Linked DNA regions of Macaca mulatta. The main gene of each other region encodes a partner of the protein of the gene in region 2 in a complex. Links are inferred from orthologs where the notes say so. Each region holds a gene or a part of one and is shown on either strand. Other genes may lie near its edges. The genes, in order: PDK3 and DLAT.

What was found.
Region 1: the proteins of DLAT (region 2) and PDK3 are in contact, whole or in part, in a crystal structure (PDB 1Y8N), measured with the Homo sapiens proteins. The link is inferred for Macaca mulatta from reciprocal best matches to the Homo sapiens genes DLAT and PDK3. Residues at the interface, in NP_001922.2 of Homo sapiens: Ala225, Leu226, Ser227, Pro228, Thr229, Glu248, Gly249, Lys259, Ala260, Ile262, Glu265; in NP_005382.1 of Homo sapiens: Arg21, Phe22, Ser23, Pro24, Ser25, Pro26, Leu27, Phe48, Lys51, Val55, Asn373, Lys374, Ser375, Arg378.

The regions. Positions count from the first base shown.
Region 1 is NC_133426.1:24,343,130-24,354,572, reverse strand, and holds part of PDK3 (pyruvate dehydrogenase kinase, isozyme 3), read right to left. Parts: intron 10,573-11,443; coding exon 10,471-10,572; intron 10,072-10,470; coding exon 9,961-10,071; intron 6,525-9,960; coding exon 6,411-6,524; intron 4,186-6,410; coding exon 4,046-4,185; intron 1-4,045. UniProt on the Homo sapiens protein: Inhibits pyruvate dehydrogenase activity by phosphorylation of the E1 subunit PDHA1, and thereby regulates glucose metabolism and aerobic respiration. Can also phosphorylate PDHA2.
Region 2 is NC_133419.1:112,781,781-112,793,223, forward strand, and holds part of DLAT (dihydrolipoyllysine-residue acetyltransferase component of pyruvate dehydrogenase complex, mitochondrial), read left to right. Parts: intron 1-722; exon of another isoform or gene 723-1,522; intron 1,523-3,821; exon of another isoform or gene 3,822-3,925; intron 3,926-4,739; coding exon 4,740-4,866; intron 4,867-8,236; coding exon 8,237-8,424; intron 8,425-10,221; coding exon 10,222-10,375; intron 10,376-11,443.

The DNA.
Region 1 (11,443 bases), on a different chromosome or scaffold from region 2:
AAAAAAAAAAAAAAAGAAAGAAACAAGACTCCTTGGGGGAGAATAGTTGATTCCAGGACACGGGCACAGAAGGTATAAGATGAACCTAGGATATCATCTTGGGCAAGAAACGCTTTCAAGGCAATAGAACACAAAGGATCCAGCTGGAAATAGCTCTCATTGGCCAAAGGTATGTCAATTCAAGCATCAAAAAGGAAAATGACTGTTACATACAATAACATGGATGAATCTCACATAAAGCCAGACACAAAAGGGTATAGCCTATGTGTTCCTTTTAAGTTCGAGAAAAGAACCTACGGTGACAGAGTTAGAAAAGTAATTATATGGTGGAGGAGGGAGGGAGAAGTGTTAGACTAGAAAGGAGTCTTTGAGGGTAGAGGAAATATAGATGTAAAAAAAAAAGCTGTAAACTTAAGATGTGTGCACTTTACTATTACTACATGTTATGCTTCAATAAAATAAGTGCCAATTAAAACGTATCAAAGTAACAAAATCTATAATACTACTAAAAAAGACAAAGCCATAAACTCATTTGTTACCATTTAAGGTGGCTTTTAACATATTTCTTACCTGGAAAATTGGTAACTTGAAGGGAATTTAATTGTCCCTTTAAATGTAAAAGGAAGGAGTTAAACACTTATCAGAGGAACTGTACTTCAAAATACCTAAATGGCCTTATTTGATGAGGAAGAGCTTTACTTTATAGGAGAATAATTGACAAAGGAATCATTTTTTTAAACATCCTTTTATAAACCCAAATAAAATTACTGTATTAATTTTAACACAGGCTGAAATGATCAATTGGGGTAAAAGCCATTAGGTGAACAGCTGATGGGTAAGTATACATTTGCATAGTGCCAAAATAACACCACACAGATTATTTTCTAGTGAAAAGGGGAAAAATAACTATAACTCAGAGGGATCAGACAGCCATCACCTAAACTATGCTCAATCATAACATCACTAATGGTGGGTCATGAGATGTCATGGGTCTCATAGTGTAATTCTGCAACAGTGCTTATGGATATTCTAGCAAAAAATGTTCCATTAGCTCTTTCTTTCTTTCCTTCCCTCTCTTTCTTTCTTTCTTTCTTTCTTTCTTTCTTTCTTTCTTTCTTTCTTTCTTTCTTTCTTTCTTTTTCTTTCTTTCTTTTTCTTTCTTTTTCTTTTCTTTCTCTTTCTTTCTTTCTCTTTCTTTCTTTTTCTTTCTTTCTTTTTTTTTTTTTTTGACAGAGTCTCACTCTGTCGCCCAGGCTGGGGTGCAGTGGCACATTCTCAGCTCACTGCAACCTTTGCCTCCTGGCTTCAAGTGATTCTCATTCCTCAGCCACCTGAGTAGCTGGGATTACAGGCGTGCACCACCACGCCTGGCTAATTTTTGTATTTTTAGTAGAGACAGGGTTTTGCCATGTTGTCCAGGCTGGTCTCGAACTCCTGACCTCAAGTGATCTGCCCACCTCGGTCCCCCAAAGTGCTGGGATTACAGGCATGAGCCACCGCACCCAGCCGCCATTAGCTTGTAATGAACTCCCAATTTATAGAAAATACAGGGAATGGGGAATAAGCTAAATGACATTTCAAAGAAGAAATTAAACAAATCAAGGTAGGATACTTTTTCAGGACAACTGGCATGGTCTCTCAATAACGAAATGCAACCTAAGTATCCATCAACAGATGAATGGATAAAGAAAATGTGATGTGTATGTGTGTGTATATATATGTGTGTGTGTGTGTGTGTGTGTGTGTGTATATACACATATATACACAGACACACATACAATGGAGTACTATTCAGCCATAAAAAAGAATGAAATCCAGTCATTCGCAACAACATGGATAGAACTAGAAGTCATTATGCTAAGTAAAATGAGCCAGGCGCAAAAACATAAACTTCACATGTTCTCACTTATTTGTGGAATCTAAAATCCAAAGTAATTGAAGTCATGGACACAGTGAGTAGAAGAATGGTTACCAGAGGCTGGGAAGGGTAGTGGGAGGGTTGAGGAGAAGTGGGGATGGTCAATGGGTACAAAAAAATAGAAAGAATGAAAAAGACCTACTATTTGATAGCACAATAGGGTGACTACAGTCAACAATAACTTAATTGTATATTTTGAAATAACTTAGAGAATGTAATTGGATTGTTTGTAACTCAAAGGATAAATGCTTGAGGGGATGGACGCCCCATTCTCCGTGACGTGCTTATTTCACTTTGCATGCCTGTATCACAACATCTCACGTACCCCAGAAATATATACACCTACTATGTACCCACAAAACTTTTTTAAATTAAAAGACAATAACAACAACTTGAGACTACCCAGATGTGTTATGTGGTCCTGGAATAGAGATCTCGGTTTAGACAAATCAGGTGAATGATTATTGACATGGAAAGATGGGATGGTTAAATGAAACAAAAGCAGGTTGTAAAACAGTATGAATAGTGTAATGTCATTTGCAAAAAAATACATATATACACAAATGGCAAAATGTCTGGAAGAACATACAGAAGCTATAGCAGTGGCAATGTCTGGGTTTTGGGAACACAGAGGTCTCTCCTTTCTTTTTTGGCTTACTTATGTCTTCTATTTTTTCTTTTCTTTCTTTTTTTTTGAGATGGAGTCTAGCTCTATTACCCAGGCTGGAGTGCAGTGGTACTATCTTGGCTCACTGCAACCTCCGTCTCCTGGGTTCAAGCAATTCTCCTGCTTCAGCCTCCCAAGTCGTTGGAATTACAGGCACGTGCCACCACACCCAGCTAATTTTTGTATTTTTAGTAGAGACCAAGTTTCCCCATATTGGCCAGGCTGGTCTTGAACTCCTGACTTCAAGTGATCCATCCACCTCAGCCTCTCAAAGTGCTGGGATTACTGGCATGAGCCACTGCGCCCAGACAACGTTTTCTTATTTTTTTATAATGCACATATACTGCTTTTTTGTTAATACAGGATTATTTTAAGTTAAATGAAGCAGAACCCTACTGTTGCTAGTAGAGTTGAAGCTTAAGGGTAGGTAGTCAGAAGAAAACTACAGATTATTTTCCTTATTACCATAAAACAGTGAAACTTCTTCTGTGATTGATAACTTTTCCTTTATAATGTTTAAATTTTTTATTGTGATAAGCTACACATAACATAGAACTTACCATCTTTTTCTTGTTTGAGACACGGTCTTTTCTGTCCCCCAGGCAGGTGTGCAGTGGTGCAAATCATAGCTCACTACAGCCTGGAAGTCCTGGGCTCAAGTGATCCTCCCGCCTCAGCCTCCTGAGTAGCTAGGACTACAGACACACACCACACCTGGCTAATTTTACCTTTTTAAATTTTTTGCTGAGACGGGGTCTCACTATGTTGCCTAGACTGGTCTCGAACTCCTGGCTTCAAGAGATCATCCAGCCTCAGCCTCCCAAAGTGTTGGGATTACAGGCGTGAGCCACCACACCCAGCCCAGAACTTACCATCTTAACCATTGCTACACGTACAGTTCAGTGGCATTGAGTACATTCACGCTGTTGTGCAAGCATCACCACCATCCATCTCCAGAAGTTTTTCATCTTTCCACCTGAAACTCTGTACCCATGAAACAATGACTCCCCATTCCCTCTTCCTCGCTAGCACCTGGCAACCTCCCTTCAACTTTGTGTCTCTGCATTTGACTACTCTAGGTACCCCACATAAGTAGAATCATAGTATTTGTCCTTTTATGTCTGGCTTATTTCACTTAGCATAATGACTTCAAGATTCACCCATGTTGTAGCACATATCAGAATGTCCTTCCTTTTTAAGGCCAAATATTATTCCATCGCATGAACTGATCACCTTTTATGTTGACTGATCATTTTAACTTATTTTTCATTTTCAACCTCTAACGTTTATGATGACAAACTGCAAATTTAATTGCTTTTTAAATAAAATTCATGGCAGGTCAAATCCCTGCTCACTGTTGTGAATACCTCTACAGTGTAAGAATTCCTAGAACAGTGAGTGGGACACCTTTACTCAGACAAATCAGATACTTTGTAATGGAAATCAAAGTGGTATATTACTGTTTCGCTTTGTATTTTGAAGCATCCCTGGGTTCACTGCTGGGATTGCTCCAATCGTCGGCTTCAGGCGTGGTCTTGTAATGGCGCCATGCGGACTTATTAAAAACTGGAAGTCTCTCAAATGACTCACTTGAAAGAGCCTATTGGAGAAACAAAAATATACATCAAAGGTCCACAGTGTCATTTTCTCAAGTGAAATAGTAACCCAAATTTTATTATGTAAAACATCAGAAACCTTAATACATATTTTCAAAATGATATTAAAAATACACCTTAGTAGTTTACTTAGACTGGCCAGGAAAATATCAAAGCTTTTTTAAGGGAATGAAAACATTTGCTCATTCAAAATCAGAACTGAAATACACATGACCAGAACAAAACATATTTTAATTCAGCTCATACTGCTTTGAGATGCTCAACTGTTTTTACTATACGTGGTGATTGGTCTCACAAAGGGCCCAGGAAGAAATAGTCTCATGCATCCCAGGTTTATAAACACACACCATCAAGTGCTATTAAATATCACATTACTTAGAGGCATGGGCATCTAAGATAAATACTCCCAATAACTGGTTAAATTCTGGTGTCACATACACAGGTTGAGTATCCCTTTGAAATGCCTGGGAACAGGCCGGACACAGTGGCTCACACCTGTAATCCCAGCACTTTGGGAGGCTGAGGCAGGTGGATCACCTGAGGTCAGGAGTTAGAAACCAGCCTGGCCAACATGGTGAAACCCTGTCTCTACTAAAAATACAAAAAAATTAGCCAGGTGTGGTGGCACGCACCTGCAATCCCAGCTACTCAGGAGGCTGAGGCAGGAGCATAGCTTGAACCCAGGAGGCGGAGGTTGCAGTGAGCCGAGATGGCGGTACTGCACTCCAGCCTGGGTGACAGAGCGAGGGTCCGTCGAAGAGAAGAGAAGAGAAGAGAAGAGAAGAGAAGAGAAGAGAAGAGAAGAGAAGAGAGAGAAAAGAAAAGAGAGAAGAGAGAAAAGAGAAGAAAAGAAAAGAAAAGAAAAGAAGGAAGGAAAGAAACAAAGAAATGCTTGGGACCAGAAGTAGTTCTGATTTTTTCCGATTTTGGAATATTTGCATTGTGTTTACCTGTTAAGCATCCCTAATCTGAAAATCTGAAATCTGGAGTGCTCCAATAAGCATTTCCTTTAAGCTTGACCTTTGAGCAAGCATCACATTGGCGCTCAAAAAGTTCCAGATTTTCAAGCATTTTAGATGGCAGATTCTTGGGTTAGGGATGCTTGATCCACAGTAGCATGTTATGCCACTGTTTAAAAGAATGAGCCAGTTCTACATAAACTGTTCTGGAAAGATCTCCAAGACAGATTGGAAAGTAAAAAAAATAAGAAGGTGCTGAAATTTCATTTATGTGGGAAAAATTCTATTTTCCCCATATTTATAAATGTAGAATCAACTCTAGGAGGAACCGTAAGACGCTAAGACCTGTGGTGATCTCCGCTGAAGAGAACTGGTGGTTTAGGGCCAGTGGGAGGAGAGACTAATTTTTCCTTTTGCGGCTTTTAAATTTTTATTATGTGTCTATATTACCTATTCAAAAAAACGTTACAAATATTCTAGAGTTTAGAAATAAAAGTCCAATTACCACCAATGAATAAGAAAGAGTGTTACAGAGAAGTTTGTTATGAAATGAACCTTTTATCTAACTATATTATGATTACTGAATTCTTGTAACTTTGGGAAAGCCAGTGAGTTTTTAAAACCAAAGACCAAAATACTTCAGTTTATGAAAATCGACCTCCTTTTAGATCAGATCTTTCAACAGCCATGCAGTTTTTTAAGTCACAATTTAAAATTACGGTTTTAAAAATCAGCATTTTAATTTTTTTTTTCTCTTTTGAGACGGAGTCTCATTCTATCGCCCAGGCTAGAGTACAGCGGCACCATCTTAGCTCACTGCAACCTCTGCCTCGCGGGTTCAAGTGACTCTCCTGCCTCAGCCTCCTGAGAAGCTGGGACTAGAGGCGTGCACCACCACACCAGCTAATTTTTTGTATTTTTAGTAGACATGGGGTTTCACCATGTTGGCCAGGCTGGTCTCGAACTACTGACCTCAGGTGATCCGCCCACCTCAGCCTCCCAAAGTGCTGGGATTACAGGCCTGTGCCACCGTGCCTGGCCAAAATCAGTATTTTAATTTCTATACCTCCACGTTTCATATTTTGCTATACCTGAGCATAGAATCAAGGGTGAGGCATAACATGGTTTTCATGGGTAAGTGAAGTAAATCTGAGATGAATCTAAGAGACGATCGCTATTCTCAATCAGCGATTAGAACTTAAAGCTTTAAAAAGCAAAGATGCCTCATACTAACAAATAAAATGCAGTACCTTCAAATAAATGACAGCATCAGTACCCACTCCTTCCATGGAATACAGTTTCAGATCTCCTTGAAAATATCTAGCATACAGACGGGAAATTGGCAAACCATAACCAAATCCAGCCTATTGAGAAAAGAAAATTAATACAGTGAGACAGGCACAAATGCTAACACATTTTATATGATGACCATTCAGAGAAGGTTAAAATAAATTCTTGATTCAGATGTAAATCAAAGAAATTACTGACTCAACCTTTACAATGATGTATATCCTCTTCTATGGCAAACAACCTCTTTATTTTCACCCTGCAAAAACATGTCTTACATGTTTGGATAATAATAAAAATATTCTATTTTTTGACTAATACTTTTTTAGCATTTAAAAGCAAAGTTTTATCATTTTTAAAAAGCACATTCCAAGGCTGGGCACGGTGGCTCACACCTGTAATCCCAGCACTTTGGGAGGCTGAGGCAGGTAGATCACTTGAGGTCAGGAATTCGTGACCAGCCTGGCCAACATGGCGAAACCCCGTCTCTACTACAAAAATTAGCTGGGCGAGGTGGTGGGAGACTGTAGTCCCAGCTACTCAGGAGGCTGAGGCAGGAGAATCGCTTGAACCTGGGAGGTGGAGGTTGCAGTGAGCTGAGATGGTGCCACTGCACTCCAGCCTGGGTGACAGAGCGAGACTCCATCTCCACAAAAGAAAAAAAAAAAAAAAAGCACATTCCAAATCAAGAGGAATGTGACCTGATGACAGAACTAAACCACATCATTTCAACGTCCCATGATCAGATTTCCCTGCTCTTAGAAGTGAAAATCAATAGCGCAGTGCTGAGTGCAAATCTACCAGTAACAAGATGAGAACACGGAAAGGAAAACAATTTTCTGAGAGGCAACTTCTAAGGTTCCGGGAATGTGAGAATATTTTGGTATATTATAGTTCAGATATTTTTAGAGATTAAAAAAAATTTTCAGTACCTTCCTATATCTCTATGTCATGGAACTCTGACTGTCAATAACAGGTGTTCAGGGAGAAAAAAAAAGGTCTCAGGTATGGACAAGAACAATACGAATCGAAACTAAATGTAATACCGTTTGCAGTGGCAGTGGGGCAGGGTGTGGAAGGAGATATTTTAACACCAAGCTTCCTCACTTCTGGTTAAATCTATGAACAAGGTTAAGGAAGGAGGGCAGGGGACCATGTGCATAGAGTCACATGGGCCTTAGACTCAGATAGACCCAAGTTGAAATCCACTTTCTGTGTGACTCTGAGCAGTTTGCTCAACCTCTTTGAGACCGATTTTTCATCTGAATATATGATTTTAAAAAAAACTGACCTCAGAGCTGCTATAAGGATTAAATAATATAACAAGTATCAAATCTTGGCACAGTGCTTACCACAGTAAAACTAAATAAATCAAAGCTGGTACTCTAGCTACTGGGAGCAGCAATTTTATGAAGTTACATGGATTTCTGCCCTTTTCTAACATCTCTCCTTGATACCTCCTCTCAGGGTAGCGTCTAACTGAAAGGGCAGAGGGTAAAAGAACATACTCCATTATTTGAGGGCTTTAGGACTTGCTGAATATGGCCAGTAGTGAAGATGAGATATCTATAGTAGTGACTCAGGTAACCAGAGCAAAGAAACTAGCTCACTCTAGGAAGAGATGTGAGGAAATCTGCCTTCTATGCTCAAGCAAGGCCCAGAGCCTGCCCTCAGGTCCAACACAGAACAGGCGAGAGCTCCGAGGCCAATGCAGATGTGAGTGTAAGCCCAGACTCCCAGAGTGCAGAGGAGGGGTCTGGACCTCGGATTGGCTGAGGTTCAGGAAAGGTTTCCCAGACGGTCAAAGCATCAGCAGGAGTTCGCTGGGTGGATATTCTCACAACAGAAATGCACGTGTAAAGGCACAGAGGTGTAAAAATGCAAGTTGCTCAATGAGGAAATTATGTTTTCTAGTAGTACATATCCATGTGCCCACTTTAAAGCTGAGGAGAGTTTCTTTTTCTTTTTCTTTTTTTTTTTTTTTTTTTGAGGCAGAGTCTCGCTCTGTCGTCCAGGCTGGAGTGTAGTGGCATAATCTTGGCTCACTGCAACCTCCACCTCCCAGGTTCAAGCAATTCTTGTGCCTCAGCCTCCTGAGTAGCCGGGATTACAAGCGTGCGCCACTGCTCCTGACTATTTTCATGTATTTTTAGTAGAGACCGGGTTTCACCATGTTGGCCAGGCTGGTCTCGAACTCCTGACCTCAAGTGATCCACCCGCCTTGGCCTCCCAAAGTGCTAGGATTACAGGCCAGTTTCTTAACTGGGAGAGCCACTAGTGGAAGCATTTCTTCAAAAGGAAAGGCCACATAGTACACTGGAAAGAACACAGACATGGCCAGCACCAGCTCTGCAGTTAATTAGTTCAATGACTTTGGGCAAGGTCATTTCCTCATTTCCTCATCTCTACAATGGGAGTGTGCGTGCGTAATTTTTAAAGGTCTCTTACAAGTCCCCAGTTCCTCAAGATGCTATTTTAAGACCTGGAAGAGACAATCTATATTTCTTTTAAACAACTGGGGAAGGTGCTACATTTGTTTGTGCTGCCTTTTTTCCTTTTGATGTGTATTTAAGTGCATGCCAGAGCCTAGTCAAGGCAATGCCTCTCAAACGTGATCTTTCATGAATTTTCTCAAATCCTATATAAATGATTTCCTGTTTCCAACATGCTGAGTTAACAAACTCTGTCTCAAATAAAGGATGCAAAGTGTTTGATTTTATTAATACAAATAAAATATAATCTTATGTGCTTATCAGTCAGGTAGGACTTTAAAATGAAACTTAATTTATACCCTGAACCATTTTGCAGACTGATAGATATGTTGCTGTGTTTAATGACAAAGGGTTCAATTGTTGTTTGTCAATTAGAAACACTCAGCAGGGGAAGCAAGTGTGGCCCTACCAGGATCTAAATGCTACCATGGTAACCAGAGGCTTTTCTCACTGCCTTAATAGGGCTGAAGGTTATTTCCAGAGTGAGACAGAAAGGGCTCTGAAAACGCATACACCACCTATATGTTTCATGCTAATGTTATTTAATATAAAAATTTAATGTTTCCATAATTTAACATTTTAATTATATAAACAAATTTGACAGTGGAGATTCCAAGGCACTAGGTGATTCGCGCCTCTGTGGTATGCACGCCAGAGTGTGCAGGACCAAGCGGCAGCTATGCATTCAGTACTGTCCCTTTGCTCACCCACTGGTAACTTCTACCCCTGCCAAGGGTAGCACAAAGTGGAAAATGGTGCTCCAGTAGCAGTCTTACCACGATGAGGTACTTTTTCTCTGTATTTGGGAGTGAGGCACTCAGCTCGGAGTGTTTCTTAGAGATAAATCAGAGAGGAAATAGAAGTACAAAGAAAGTAGCCAAGGCAAAAAATTCCCCCTCCTCCAAACTGCAACATTCTAAATCAACTACACTAATGTGACAACCTGGGGAGAGAGGCAGCTCCCTCTGAGCCCCTTCCCGTGTTTATGATCTTTCCTTCAGCAGCAGTTTGAGATGCTTACCAAAGGGGCAGCTCTGGTAGGCTCCAGGCTGGGTCTAGGAGCAGTCGAATACATGTAGTTAAAAAGACGATCTATTTTTCGAAGTGGAACACCACCGCCTAGGTCACTGATCTGCAATGTACAAAATGTTAACAATCAAAACAAAGAAGTTGATCTATACTTAGTAGGAGGCAATGGGTTCATTAAATAAAGTACATAGCAGATTACTCCAAAATGTACAAGGACTTTGAATCCCCAGTGACATATGGTTCCTTTGTGAACAGTGTAAAGCAAAGGTGGCCGAATGGTACAGTAGGATCCAACAGGCTTGGTGTTGAGGTCTTGTTCAACTCCATGAATAACAAGGTTCTAATGAAGTTTAAATAAGGTAACTTAAGCCAAGGATCTAGCATAGAACTTACAAATAGGACACTCAATAAATGTCAATTTTCTTCCCTCTGATTTTTCAATGTCTAGATACTATTAAATCACAACTGATAATTAAAGTATACATGCGCATAAAACAGTTACCTTAATGGATAAGTCTTCTTTACCCAAAGTAACGAGGGTTTTAACAGCGGGGTAGCCCTCTTTTCTGTCTTCATAGAGTTCGACTGTCGCTCTCATTGAGTTCTAAAATAATAAGATCTTTTTGTTAATCATACTGCCGAATCACAAACCACAATTTTTAAAGAGAAAGAAGTGCATGACTTATACCCAACAACCCTTTTTTGGGGCAAATATTAGTTGGATTTTTATGGCACTTTTCCCTCTAAAGAGCTTAGCTAAATGTGCTCAAATCAAGGAAAAATTTCCTGACACTTTGTTTTTCACCTAGTTTTAGCCTCATCCAACATGCTAAATATTTATTTTTCTCTCCTTCTTCTTCTTTTTTTTTTTTTTTTTTTTTTTTTTTTTTTTTTTTTTTTGCTTTACGGTATTTAAATTATTCAACTCAATCCAGAGGAATGTTTTTATCGCATGTAATGAGGCTATGCAGAGGCTCATTTGTGTACTTTAAATCCTATTTATCAGTCTGCATTTATAGAGCACCTTTTCTCTAAAGGAGGCAGAAAAACTGAAAGGATGCATGCTTCCCACAAAAATTAATCATTTGGCTGAAAAAAGTAGAAGAAATATTGGTTAAAAAGAAATTCTGAAAAAGCCACAGCTGCTGAAGAGAAAGTTCACAATTGAATGCCCATTTCAACCTTAAAGCATTACATCAGTAACACTCTAATTTTTGGAAGCAAATCAGCATAACTGATTTTTCAGGTGTTCAAATTTAGTGTTTCACGCATTGGAAGAAATGAAATTTTAGCTCAAATGCCTTGTGCCTGTAATACTGCTACTGTAAATGTCATTAGCTACTGATTAACAAAAGCAACAGCTTAAGTTGCAGAGTCTAAAGAATTTGGTGGGGTGGTGGGGGCTGGTTCTTTTGGTCCAGCTCATCTACATCTTTCTCTGCCTCTCTTGGATCTTCTGAATTGATTCAAATATT
Region 2 (11,443 bases):
TTATTACTTACTTTTTTTCATAGATGGCTACTACATCTTGGAAACTGACTTTAAATGTGGTTAGTTAGGTCTTGTCATTTGGGAGTATATAGAAATTTAAACATGAAGATTGACAACTTTTCTTCCTGGTTGTTCTTTCCAGTTATAAGAACTTGAACAGTTCCTGTAACCTTTCTCAGCCTCAGTGTAGTACACAGGGTAATTCGTGGCACTTTTCATTCAAGAACATTACATTACAGATTTTGAGGATGATTTTTACTAACATCTATTCCCTGTATAATTAGAGTTTATAGTAGGCTGTGTTAGTCTGTTTTACTCTGGCATAAAGAAATACTTAGGGCTGGGTAATTTGTAAAGAAAAAAAGGTTTATTTGGCTCATGGTTCTGCAGGCTGTACAAGAAGCACGGCGCCAGCATCTGTTTCTCTTGTGGCCTCAGGAAGCTTACAATCATGGTGGAAGGTGGAAGGGAAAGGGGAAGGGTGGTGTGTCACATAATGAGAGAGGGTGCAAGAGACAGAGGGGAGTGGGTACCAGGCTCTTCATAGCAATCAGATTTCCCCTTAACTCATTACCATGGGGCATGCACCAAGCCATTCATGAGGGATCCTCCTCCAACACCCAGACACCTCCCACCAGACCCCATCTCTAACACTGGGGATCATATTTTTTTTTCCACCTAGAAAAAAACTTTATTTACACAATCTTGGATTCTGAATTTCCGATACTTCCAGGGTCTCTTGATCAAATGGGGCCGCAGCAGGTAGGGAAGCAAACACAGGGGCCAGTCCAGATTATCTTACTGAAGAACACCACCAAGAAGAAGGGAAGGCCTAATTCAGTTTTGGTCTGGACTACATCTCCTCGCACTTTGAGATCACCACAGGTAGCTTGGGCTTATTGTTAGGGCCTGTGGGAACATTCTCAATCTTTCTCATCACTAGAAGTCCATCGATGAGTTTTCCAAACATTATATGCTTCCCATCCAGCCAATCGCACTTAGAGCAGGTGATAAAGAACTGACAGCCGTTTGTACTGGAACCACTGTTTGCCACGGAAAGCAGGCCTGGAGCTGAGTGTCTTAAGTTTAAAATTTTTGTCTGCAAATGGCTCCACATAATTACTGGCGACTCCAATACCATCTCCAGTAACAAAATCTCCACCCTGAGTCATGAAATCCTTTATGACCCTGTGGAAAGTGCTTCCTTTGTATCCTATTGGAACCCCATCTTTTCTGAATTCTCTAGTGTAGAACTGCGCAAAGTTCTCGGCCATCTTAGGCACAACTCTGCAAAGAGCTTGATCTTTGTGCGGCCAACTTCCTGACTGCCATTGCTGACATCAAAGAACACCATGGGGTTAGCAGGGCTTGAATTTGCCACCACCCGTGGCTCCGACCGGGAAGCAGAAGTCAGGGATCGTATTTCAGCATGAGATTTGGAGGGGACAAACATCCAAGCTGTATCATAGGTGTCAAGTGCTGTCTGTTGAATGAAAGTCCCCAATTGGTGTTCTTTTGACATGTGGTGATCTATTTTCCAAGAGTAGGTGAAGTAATCCAGTAGTATTAATAAATGAGAAAACTGATAAAAATTAAGTGTAAGATACACATAGGTAATAGCGTTGCAACAAAGTTGAAGGCAGTGAATGTAATCACTGTTGATTGTGCTAACTAAATCAGTTTCTAAGAAACTAAGTCAATTTATTAGGTATTAGGGTTATCTTCTGTATATTTGTGTGCTTTAGATGTTACAAGTGGATAAAAATCCAGCCATCCTTTTCTAAATAATTCTGACTAGCATTTCTCCTGAATCTAGTTTATTTGTAGAAATTTTTGTATAGGAATCATTTTCTTCTTTGGAAATAACGTTCTACTCCGTGGTTTGTTAGTAACAATCATTTAGGATTTTTGCCTGGTGTTCAGTTCACACATGTATTACATGCTGTTCGGCAGATTCTCTCTCATGATACAAGACTGACTTAATTTTCCTCTACTTTGTGCCTGTAGCTTTGTGTGCATGTGCTAGGGTTTTACCTTAATTATTCTTTAAGATACTGAATTGAATTCTGAATCTCTGATACTGTTCTTTAAGATCCTGTATAGAGATTATTGACTTCACTGTTGCTTTTTTTTTTTTTTTGAGCCTGTCACCCAGGCTGGAGTGCAGTGGCGCGATCTCGGCTCACTGCAAGCTCCGCCTCCCGGGTTCACGCCATTCTCCTGCCTCAGCCTCCCAAGTAGCTGGGACTACAGGCGCCCGCCACCTCGCCTAGCAAGTTTTTTTGTATTTTTTAGTAGAGACGGGGTTTCATGGTGTTAGCCAGGATGGTCTCAATCTCCTGACCTCGTGATCCGCCCGTCTCGGCCTCCCAAAGTGCTGGGATTACAGGCTTGAGCCACCGCGCCCGGCTGACTTCACTGTTTCTTAAGAAGCAGATGAAGATGGCAAATTCTGAACAAAAAAGGCACTTACAATTTTTTTTCTAAGGCTTGTCTTAATTTTTTCCCCTCTCTGGAAACATCTTCAATTGAAATTATTTTCCCCTCCGCATAAGCCTGTTGCTAATCAGATACAGAAGACAAAGAGGATAGCAAATGAATCCAAATTCAGTGGACACACAAGCCATATAAATAGTAAAGCAATTTTAAATTTAGATAGGCATTCTGGTGTTTGGATTTTATTGGGGTGGAAATGGCTATTATAAAAACAGGGCTTTTTTTCCCCCTGGTTTTTCATTTTTATTTATTTATTTTTTTGAAACAGGGTCTCAGTCCATCACCTACGCTGGAGTGCAGTGGTGCGATTTTGGCTCACTGCAACCTCTGCCTCCTGGGTGCAAGCGATTCTCCTGCCTCAGCCTCCCGAGTAGCTGGGAATACAGGCACACACCACCACGCCTGGCTGTTTTATTTTTTGAGACAGGATCTCACTCTTCACCCAGGCTGGAGCACAGTGGTGCAATCTTAGCTCACTGCAGCCTTGACCTGGGCTCAAGCCATCCTCCCACCTCAGCCTCACAAGAAGCTGTGACTACAGGCACATGCCACCGTGCCCAGCTAATTTTTTTTTTTTTTTATATAGACGAGGTTACACCATGTTGCTCAGGCTGGTCGTGGACTCCTGGGCTCAAGTGATCCTCCTGCATCAGCCTACCAAAACGCTGAGATTGTAGGCATGAGCCATCATGCCTGGTCTTTCCTGTTTTTTTTTTTTTTTTTTTTTTTTGACACAGTCTTGCTCTGTCACCATGGCTGGAGTGTCGTGGCACGATCTCGGCTCACTTCTACCTCTGCGATTCTCATGCCCCAGCCTCCTCAGTAGCTGGGACTACAGGCAGGTGTTACCACGCCCAGCTAATTTTGGTATTTTTAGTAGAGGTAGGGTTTCGCCACTTTGGCCAGGCTGATCTTGAACTCCTGGCCTCAAGTGATCTGCCCCTCCCAAGTGATTCTTGGCCTCCCAAAGTGCTGGGATTACAGATGTGAGCAACTGTGCCTGGCCTCCTCTTTTATTTTTTAAAATGATCATTGCACCACTGCACTCCAGGCTGGGCAACAGAGTAAGACTCCGTCTCAAAAAAAAAAAATTATCAAATAAAATTCTATGTAAGAATTCTATGTATATATATTATATACAACAAGTTCTGAAATATGTATATATTGTGGAATGGCTAAATTGAGCTAATTTATATATGCATTACTTTACAGACTTATCTTTTAGGACACTTAAAAATCTACAAGATTGTAGGAATTTACAAGAATACAATATATTGTTATTAGCTGTTGTCACCAAAGAACAGTTTTTTTTGTTGTTGTTTGTTTTTAATATGGAATGCTTCATGAATTTGTTTGTTGTCCTTGCACAGGAGCCATGCTAATCTTTGTATCGTTCCAAGTTTAGTGTATGTGTTGCTGAAGCGAGCACAGAACAGTTCTTAATATTACATTTTTATCTTGGAAAGATATCTGGGAAGATTGGGACAAATGCAGTTTCCTGTGGGTAAAAAATAAGTAGATGCTAAGTCCAGAGCGCAGTAAAATTTTAACAGAATGGATTGGACCAAGGTCATTTTGTGAAAATGAAAATTTTCTTGGTTAAAAAAAAAATGAAGTCTGGGTGCGGTGGCTCACGCCTATAATCCCAGCACTTGGGAAGGCCAGGGCGGGCAGATTACTTGAGGACAAGTGTTCCGAGACCAGCCTGGCCAATGTGGTAAAACCCCATCTCTACAAAAATACAAAAGTTAGTGGGCATGGTGGCACCTGCCTGTAATCCCAGCTACTTGGGAGGCTGAGGCAGGAGAATCACTTGAATCCAGGAGGTGGAGGTTGCAGTGAGCCGAGATTGTGCCGTTGCACTCCAGCCTGGGTGACAGAGTGAAACTCTGTCTCAAAATAAAAATAAATATAAAAATAAAAATAGATGAAAAGATGCTCCATACTTAGATATTGAGGAATTAATTTTGACTGTCTGAAAGAAATCTTTCCCATCTGCTTGTTGCATTTAACTTGGAGTGTGTGTCAGAGTATGGGTGAGAGTATAAGAGTATGGGTCAGAGTATGAGATTTGAAGGATGATTTACCTGGTGGGAAGCTATTGAGGTGCGAAGCTTTTGCCGTGATGAGTATTTGGATTATCATAGTCACCATCATTCTATGAAAACTATATAAACCTGCCAGACTGTTATTATGTAGAAGTCGTCCTGGTATTAAGCAATAATATGTGTATGTTTCTACAGGTACTTCTTCCTGCCCTCTCTCCCACCATGACCATGGGCACAGTTCAGAGATGGGAAAAAAAAGTGGGTGAGAAGCTAAGTGAAGGAGACTTACTGGCAGAGATAGAGACTGACAAAGCCACTATAGGTGAGATTTCTTCAGCTCTTAATGGTTGAGGCACTGAGTTTCCCAATGAGGAAGAGGATTGCCATTCTTTCCTATAATGAGTGAGTGAGATAATATGAAAACTTTTTAATTCTTAGGATTCATTTCCTGGGACAGAATATTTTATTTCTATTTAGTTATATTTATTCTTAAGTTTTTATTTATTTGTTTATTTGCTTATTTTTGAGACAGGGTCTTAATCTGTTGCCCAGGCTGGAGTGCAGTGGCAAGATCATAGTTCACTATAGCCTCGAACTCCTGGGCTTATACCCAAACGATCCTCCTCCTTTAACCTCCCGAGTAGCTAGGACTACAGGCCTGAACCACCACATCCAGTTGATTTTTAAAATTTTTTGTAGAGATGGGGTCTCACTTTGTTGCCCAGGGTGGTTTTGAACTCCTGGCTCAAGTGATCCTCCTGCCTTGGCCTCCCTAAGTGCTGGGACTCCAAGCGTGAGCCCATGTTCCTGGCTGAGAATAATTTATAACAAAAATAATATTTAGTCAGATTTGTCAGTTCCATCCTGCACTCATTGAATTAAAGGCAATAAATCTGTCAATTCACAGATTATTTTTAGGCCCAAGTTTGCTTCCTAGCCTTATTATGTTACTAAGAAGCTATATCAGAACTGCTGCTGTCTAAACTAGGCAAGGGAATGCAAGAAGAAACAGGAGAAAATCACTTCCATGGCAGGATAATAGGAAAGAATTTAAGATGACTTTGAGGGAAAACTGAAACCAGGGTTGAGATTGTTTTCGTAGTTTGAGAATGACTGATAGAATGTACATGTGTTATATATATATATATTCAGAGATGTCATATGTCCATATATCTCCTTCTTAATTCATTTTTAGACTAAAAAATAAAACCCATATAGACGGTCATATATTTATGATTTTTTTAAATGGATATTTGTAGGTATTATGAATTTTTTCTCTATGCACCTTTTTTTTTTTTTTTTTTTTTTTTTGGAGACAGAGTTTTGCTCTGTTACCCAGGCTTGGGTACAGTGATGCAATCTTGGCTCACTGCAAGCTCTGCCTCCTGGGTTCAAGCAATTCTCCTGCCTCAGCCTCCCAAGTAGCTGGGACTACAGGCATGCACGATAACACCCAGCTAATTTTTTGCATTTTTAGTAGAAATGGGGTTTCACCATGTTGGCCAGGCTAGTCTCGAGCTCTTTGACCTCGGGTGATCTGCCTGCCTCGGCCTCCCAAACTGCTGAGATTACAGGCATAAGCCACCGCACCCGGACACTCTGCTTCATAATCACCACTAAAGGAAAATCTTTCCCAAAGATGTAATGGGAGGTACTGGGCATCCTCTGTTGTGGTTGTTTTCAGATTGTGTTCTTCAAATCCCATCATTCCTTGAAGGCACCTTGGGGCAAAGGGGAAATTAAAGAGCAAGACCTTATAATGCCCTGCCTCCCTCCCTTACTTCCAGTAGAGCAGTTCTTTTTTATCTTTTTGTATTTTGTGCTTCCCCATAAATTTTATTTGAAGAAAGGATTCTGTTTCTTAAAAACACAGAAACTTTGGAAACAATAGTTCTGCTTCACCATTTAACTTGAATACCAGTGTCACTGTAGAGACTGGTCACTAGAGAAGTGTTACCTTGGTTGATCTTTGAAGTCTGTTGTGGCCCAGGATCCTTTTCATTTTAAACATTTTATTTATTTTTGAGATGGAGTCTCACTCTGTTGTCCAGGCTGGAGTGCAGTGGTGCAATCTCAGCCTATCACAACCTCTGCCTCCCGGGTTCAAGCGATTCTCCTGCCTGAGCCTCCCGAGTAGCTGGGACTACAGGTGCGTGCCACCACGCCTGGCTAATTTTTGTATTTTTAGTAGAAATGGGGTTTCACTATGTTGGCCAGGCTGGTCTTGAACTTCTGACCTCGTGATATGCCTGCCTTGGCCTCCCAAAGTCCTGGGATTACAGACGTGAGCCACCACTGCTGCCAGCCTTTTTTTTTTTTTTTTTCTTGAGACAATCTTGCTCTGTCGCCTGGGATGCAGGATGGAGTGCAATGGCATGATCTTGGCTCACTGCATTCTCTGCCTCCCGGGTTCAAGCAATTCTCCTGCCTCAGCTGCCCAAGTAGCTGGGATTACAGGCACCTGCCATCATGCCTGGCTAATTTTTTGTATTTTTAGCAGAGATGGGGTTTCACCATGTTGGCCAGCCTGGTCTTGAACTCCGACCTCAGATGATCCACCCACCTCGGCCTCCTAAAGTGCTGGGATAATAGGCGCGAGCCACCGTGCTCAGCCTTAAATATATATATGTATATATTTTCCTTTTTTTTGAGACGGAGTTTCACTCTTGTTGCCCAGGCTGCAGTGCAATGGCACGATCTCGGCTCACTGCAACCTCCACCTCCTGGGTTCAAGTGATTTTCTGGCCTCAGCCTCCCGAGCAGCTGGGATTACAGGCATGCGCCACCACGCCTGGCTAATTTTATATTTTTAATAGAGATAGGGTTTCTCCACATTGGTCAGGCTAGTCTTGAACTCCCAGCCTCAGGTGACCCACCCACCTTGACCTCCCAAAGTGCTGGGATTACAGGCGTGAGCCACCGCGCCTGGCCTAAAACATATTTTTTATTGGGTATTCTCAGTTGGGAAGTGGAAGGATTCATCAAAGAGAGGCACAACAGTACAGAAAGCCAATGGCTTCTTTTAGTTTTACTTTTGCAATCCTAAATGTTTGAGTTCTTTGCAAGGAAGGCAGTAGTTGAATAAAATGTAAGTTGTCAACACCATAGAAATCCTAGTAAAGCTATAATTCTTCACATTGAAATATTTGGTATAATATCAAGTATAACCTCTTAGAAAAGTTCCAAAGATGCTTTTAGGGCTGAAATCCAACATTAATATCTAGGTTGGTAGCTCCCTTAATTTGGCACGTATGTGGTTCTTATCTTTAGCAGCATAGCTGACTTCCAACTCCATCTTAGAGTCTTGTGAGTCTGCATGGGGGCTATCCTTGGAGATTTTTTAATAACTTTTAGAACTAACCACTATCTGTAATCTTTCATAGTTTTATTGAACACATATTTATTTATCATTTACTTTGGACCAGGTGCTATTTTGTACCAGGTCATATTATTTCTAAGAACTTGAAAAATATTAAATCCGTTTAAATGTATAAACATCCCTGTGAGATTGGCACTATTATTATCCCCATATTATAGGTAAAGAAACCAAGACACAGAAGGTTAAATAGGTTGCAAAAAAGGTTATATAGCTAGCTTGAATGAGAAAAATCATTTTACTTAAAACTGTGCTGTGAGTTTGGAGGGATAGTGGAGTCTCTGAAGTCCCATAATGTTTTTTCTTTCTATTTAAGGTTTTGAAGTACAGGAAGAAGGTTATCTGGCAAAAATCCTGGTCCCTGAAGGCACAAGAGATGTCCCTCTAGGAACCCCACTCTGTATCATTGTAGAAAAAGAGGCAGATATATCAGCATTTGCTGACTATAGGCCAACTGAAGTAACAGATTTAAAACCACAAGCACCACCACCTACCCCACCCCCGGTAGGTATGCTTCTAGAATTCAGGAAACACTTAACCTTGTTTCTCTCTAAATTAAGGAGTTTTGATTAGATGATATCCTAGGTTCCTTCCACCTCCAAGATTCTATGACTAAGGAGGGAGATAGTTGATTAACCTTTGTGGAGACCTATAGTGTTTGTTGTACTGCATTGTTCACCTAATGGTCGATAGTTTGGGCCTTGTAGCTTTTTTTTTTTCTGCCATCCAGAGTCCTGCTGAAAACAAAGCTGAGTGATATGCTGTCTTTCTGCTTTAGATGTAGATATCATGCTTGTGGAAAGTAAGGCTTCATTGCCCCAGCCCTTTTTTTTTTTTTTAAAAGAGACAAGGTCTCACCCTGTCGCCAAGGCTGGAGTGCAGCGGTGCAGTCATAGCTCACTTCATTGCGCGTTTTTTATTAAATATACTGAATAATCTCTGTCACTTGAAATCCTCTTGTTATTCACGTAGTAGGTCAAGCATATATTTCTGATACAGTGGAACCTTGACATGACTTCTTTTGCATAGAATTTATTATATCACAAAATACTTTATAATAAACTATAACATGAACTTGCATTAACTCCAACCAGAGATAACACTGACAGTGAAGCTTCTGCAGATGCTAGAATCGTGAGTTTAAGCTAGGTAAACATTTCTATAAGACAAAAGTTGATTTGTGACTACTGTACATTTGTGGGAAGCTGGCAAGTAGCATTGTTGTTGTATTTCTTTTTTTTGGTTTTGTTTTTTAATTGTTGTTGTTGAGACGGATTCTCACTCCATCGCCTAGGCTGGCTTGCAGTGGCGCGATCTTGGCTCACTGCAGCCTATACCTCCCGGGTTCAAGCCATTCTCCTGCTTCAGCCTCCTGAGTAGCTGGGATTACAGGCGCCAGCCACCATGCCTGGCTAATGTTTTTATTTTTAGTAGAGAAGGGGTTTCACCATGTTGGCCAGGCTGATCATGAACTTCTGACCTCAGGTGATCTGCCCACCTCAACCTCCCAAAGTGCTGGGATTACAGGTATAAGCCACCGTACCTGGCTATATTTTTTAAGATACTTTTCAACATGGGGCCTTACAGCATAATTTTTGTATTTTGAAATTAGCTGGCTGGGTGTGGTGGCTCATGCTGGTAATCCCAGCACTTTGGGAGGCCGAGACGAATGGATCGCTTGAGGTCAGGAGTTTGAGACCAGCCTGGCCAACATGGTGAAACCCCATCTCTACTGAAAATACAAAAAATTAGCTGGTCATGGTGGTGCATGTCTGTAATCCCAGCTACTTGGGAGGCTGAGGCAGGAGAATTGCTTGAACCCAGGAGGCGGAGGTTGCAGTGAGCTGAGATTGCGCCACTGCACTCCAGCCTGGGTGACAGAGCAAGACTCTGTCTCAAAAAAATAAAAGAAAGAAAGATGTTAGGATAATTAAAAATAAAAATTATGTTGGTGATGTAAAAGAATGCAAATAAAGAAGTGGTAAGAGATTAAAGTGAAGAAAGGCCATAGGATACTATACACTGATTGGCAATATTCAGTTCTGTGCTTCTTCATGTTGTTATGGAATAAAGTAACTTTGTTCTGTCTTTGACATAGATGTATATTGTTCTTGCTGTTCGTATTACTACATTATGTTGGTTAAACTGGAGAAAAGTACATTATGATCTTTGGAAAAAAGATGAAAGTTATTAATATTTAATTAAAATAGTTTTAATTTATTAATAAGATGTAAACTTTTAATCTTTCAGACCAATCTTTGAAGTGGTGAATTAAAACAATTTGTAATTTTTTTTCAAAAGGTGGCCACTGTTCCTCCAACTCCTCAGCCTTTAGCTCCTACACCTTCAGCACCCTGCCCTGCTACTCCTGCTGGACCAAAGGGAAGGGTGTTTGTTAGCCCTCTTGCAAAGAAGTTGGCAGTAGAGAAAGGGATTGATCTTACACAAGTAAAAGGTAAATCTGTTTCTATGGAATAGAGTTATAAAGTTAAATTTAGTTGAATTTCCTCCTTAAGACTTGCAAGTATAACTATATATAGCCATACTTATAACTGGGATAGTAGGGACAACTGTTAATAATCACATCAGAAGGGAGAAATAGTTCTTTTGTTGCCACCACAGAGTAGGGAAACTTTTACTGAGCTTTATTTACTCTGCCTAGAATCTACCCATATACTTTAGATACCTTTTTTTTCCCTCTTCTCTTCATGGAAACTACTTGTTTGAAAGTATATGTACTTGTTCAGCAAAATTGGGTTATGGGACTTGATTGTGTAATAAGAAACCTCTGTTAGTGCTAGGTTGACTGTAGTAATAAGCAAAGCAAAATAAAATTTGAAATTGGGGTGATTTGGAATGACTTAAAATGATAAACTTCATATAAAACAGAACTAGAGCTCCCTGAAGGCAAGGGGAAATGCCTTACTTGTCTGTCTGTCCCCAAAGAAAAAATATAGCTTTGTGATAAGAACATGGGGCCTGGAATCAGACCACCTAGCGTTTCATCCTGGCTTTATAATTTTCTATGTAATCTGTTTTCCAGTGAATTACTTAAATTGTATGTCCTTATGTCAATTACTTTTCTAGCCATAAAACCGAGGTATTGTACATCATATAGATTGTGAGAGTTAAATGAGCTATAACAGGTGAAGTGCCTAGAACTGTTATCTAGCATATAAGTACTCAATACATGTTTGTTGTCATTCATATTGATATTATTGCCTGGCGCTTAAGTAAGTTTTTTTGAGTTAAACCTAAGCTAAAATTTAGTGTAGGATAACTAAGGTACTTATTTGGAAAAGGAGGGAAGTTATTATTCTTGGAACTTGGTTTGATGGCTAGTACTATGTGCCAGTCATTTAACTTATCATACTTAATGTACACAACACTTCTTGAAGTAAGAATTATCATTCCCTATTTTCTGGATAAGAAAACAGACTCTCAGACTCTTCAGGGTTCTTTTTTCCTGTTAAATAGTAAAGTTGCAGTGTGACTCTAGATTTGTTTAACTCTAAAGCCTGTT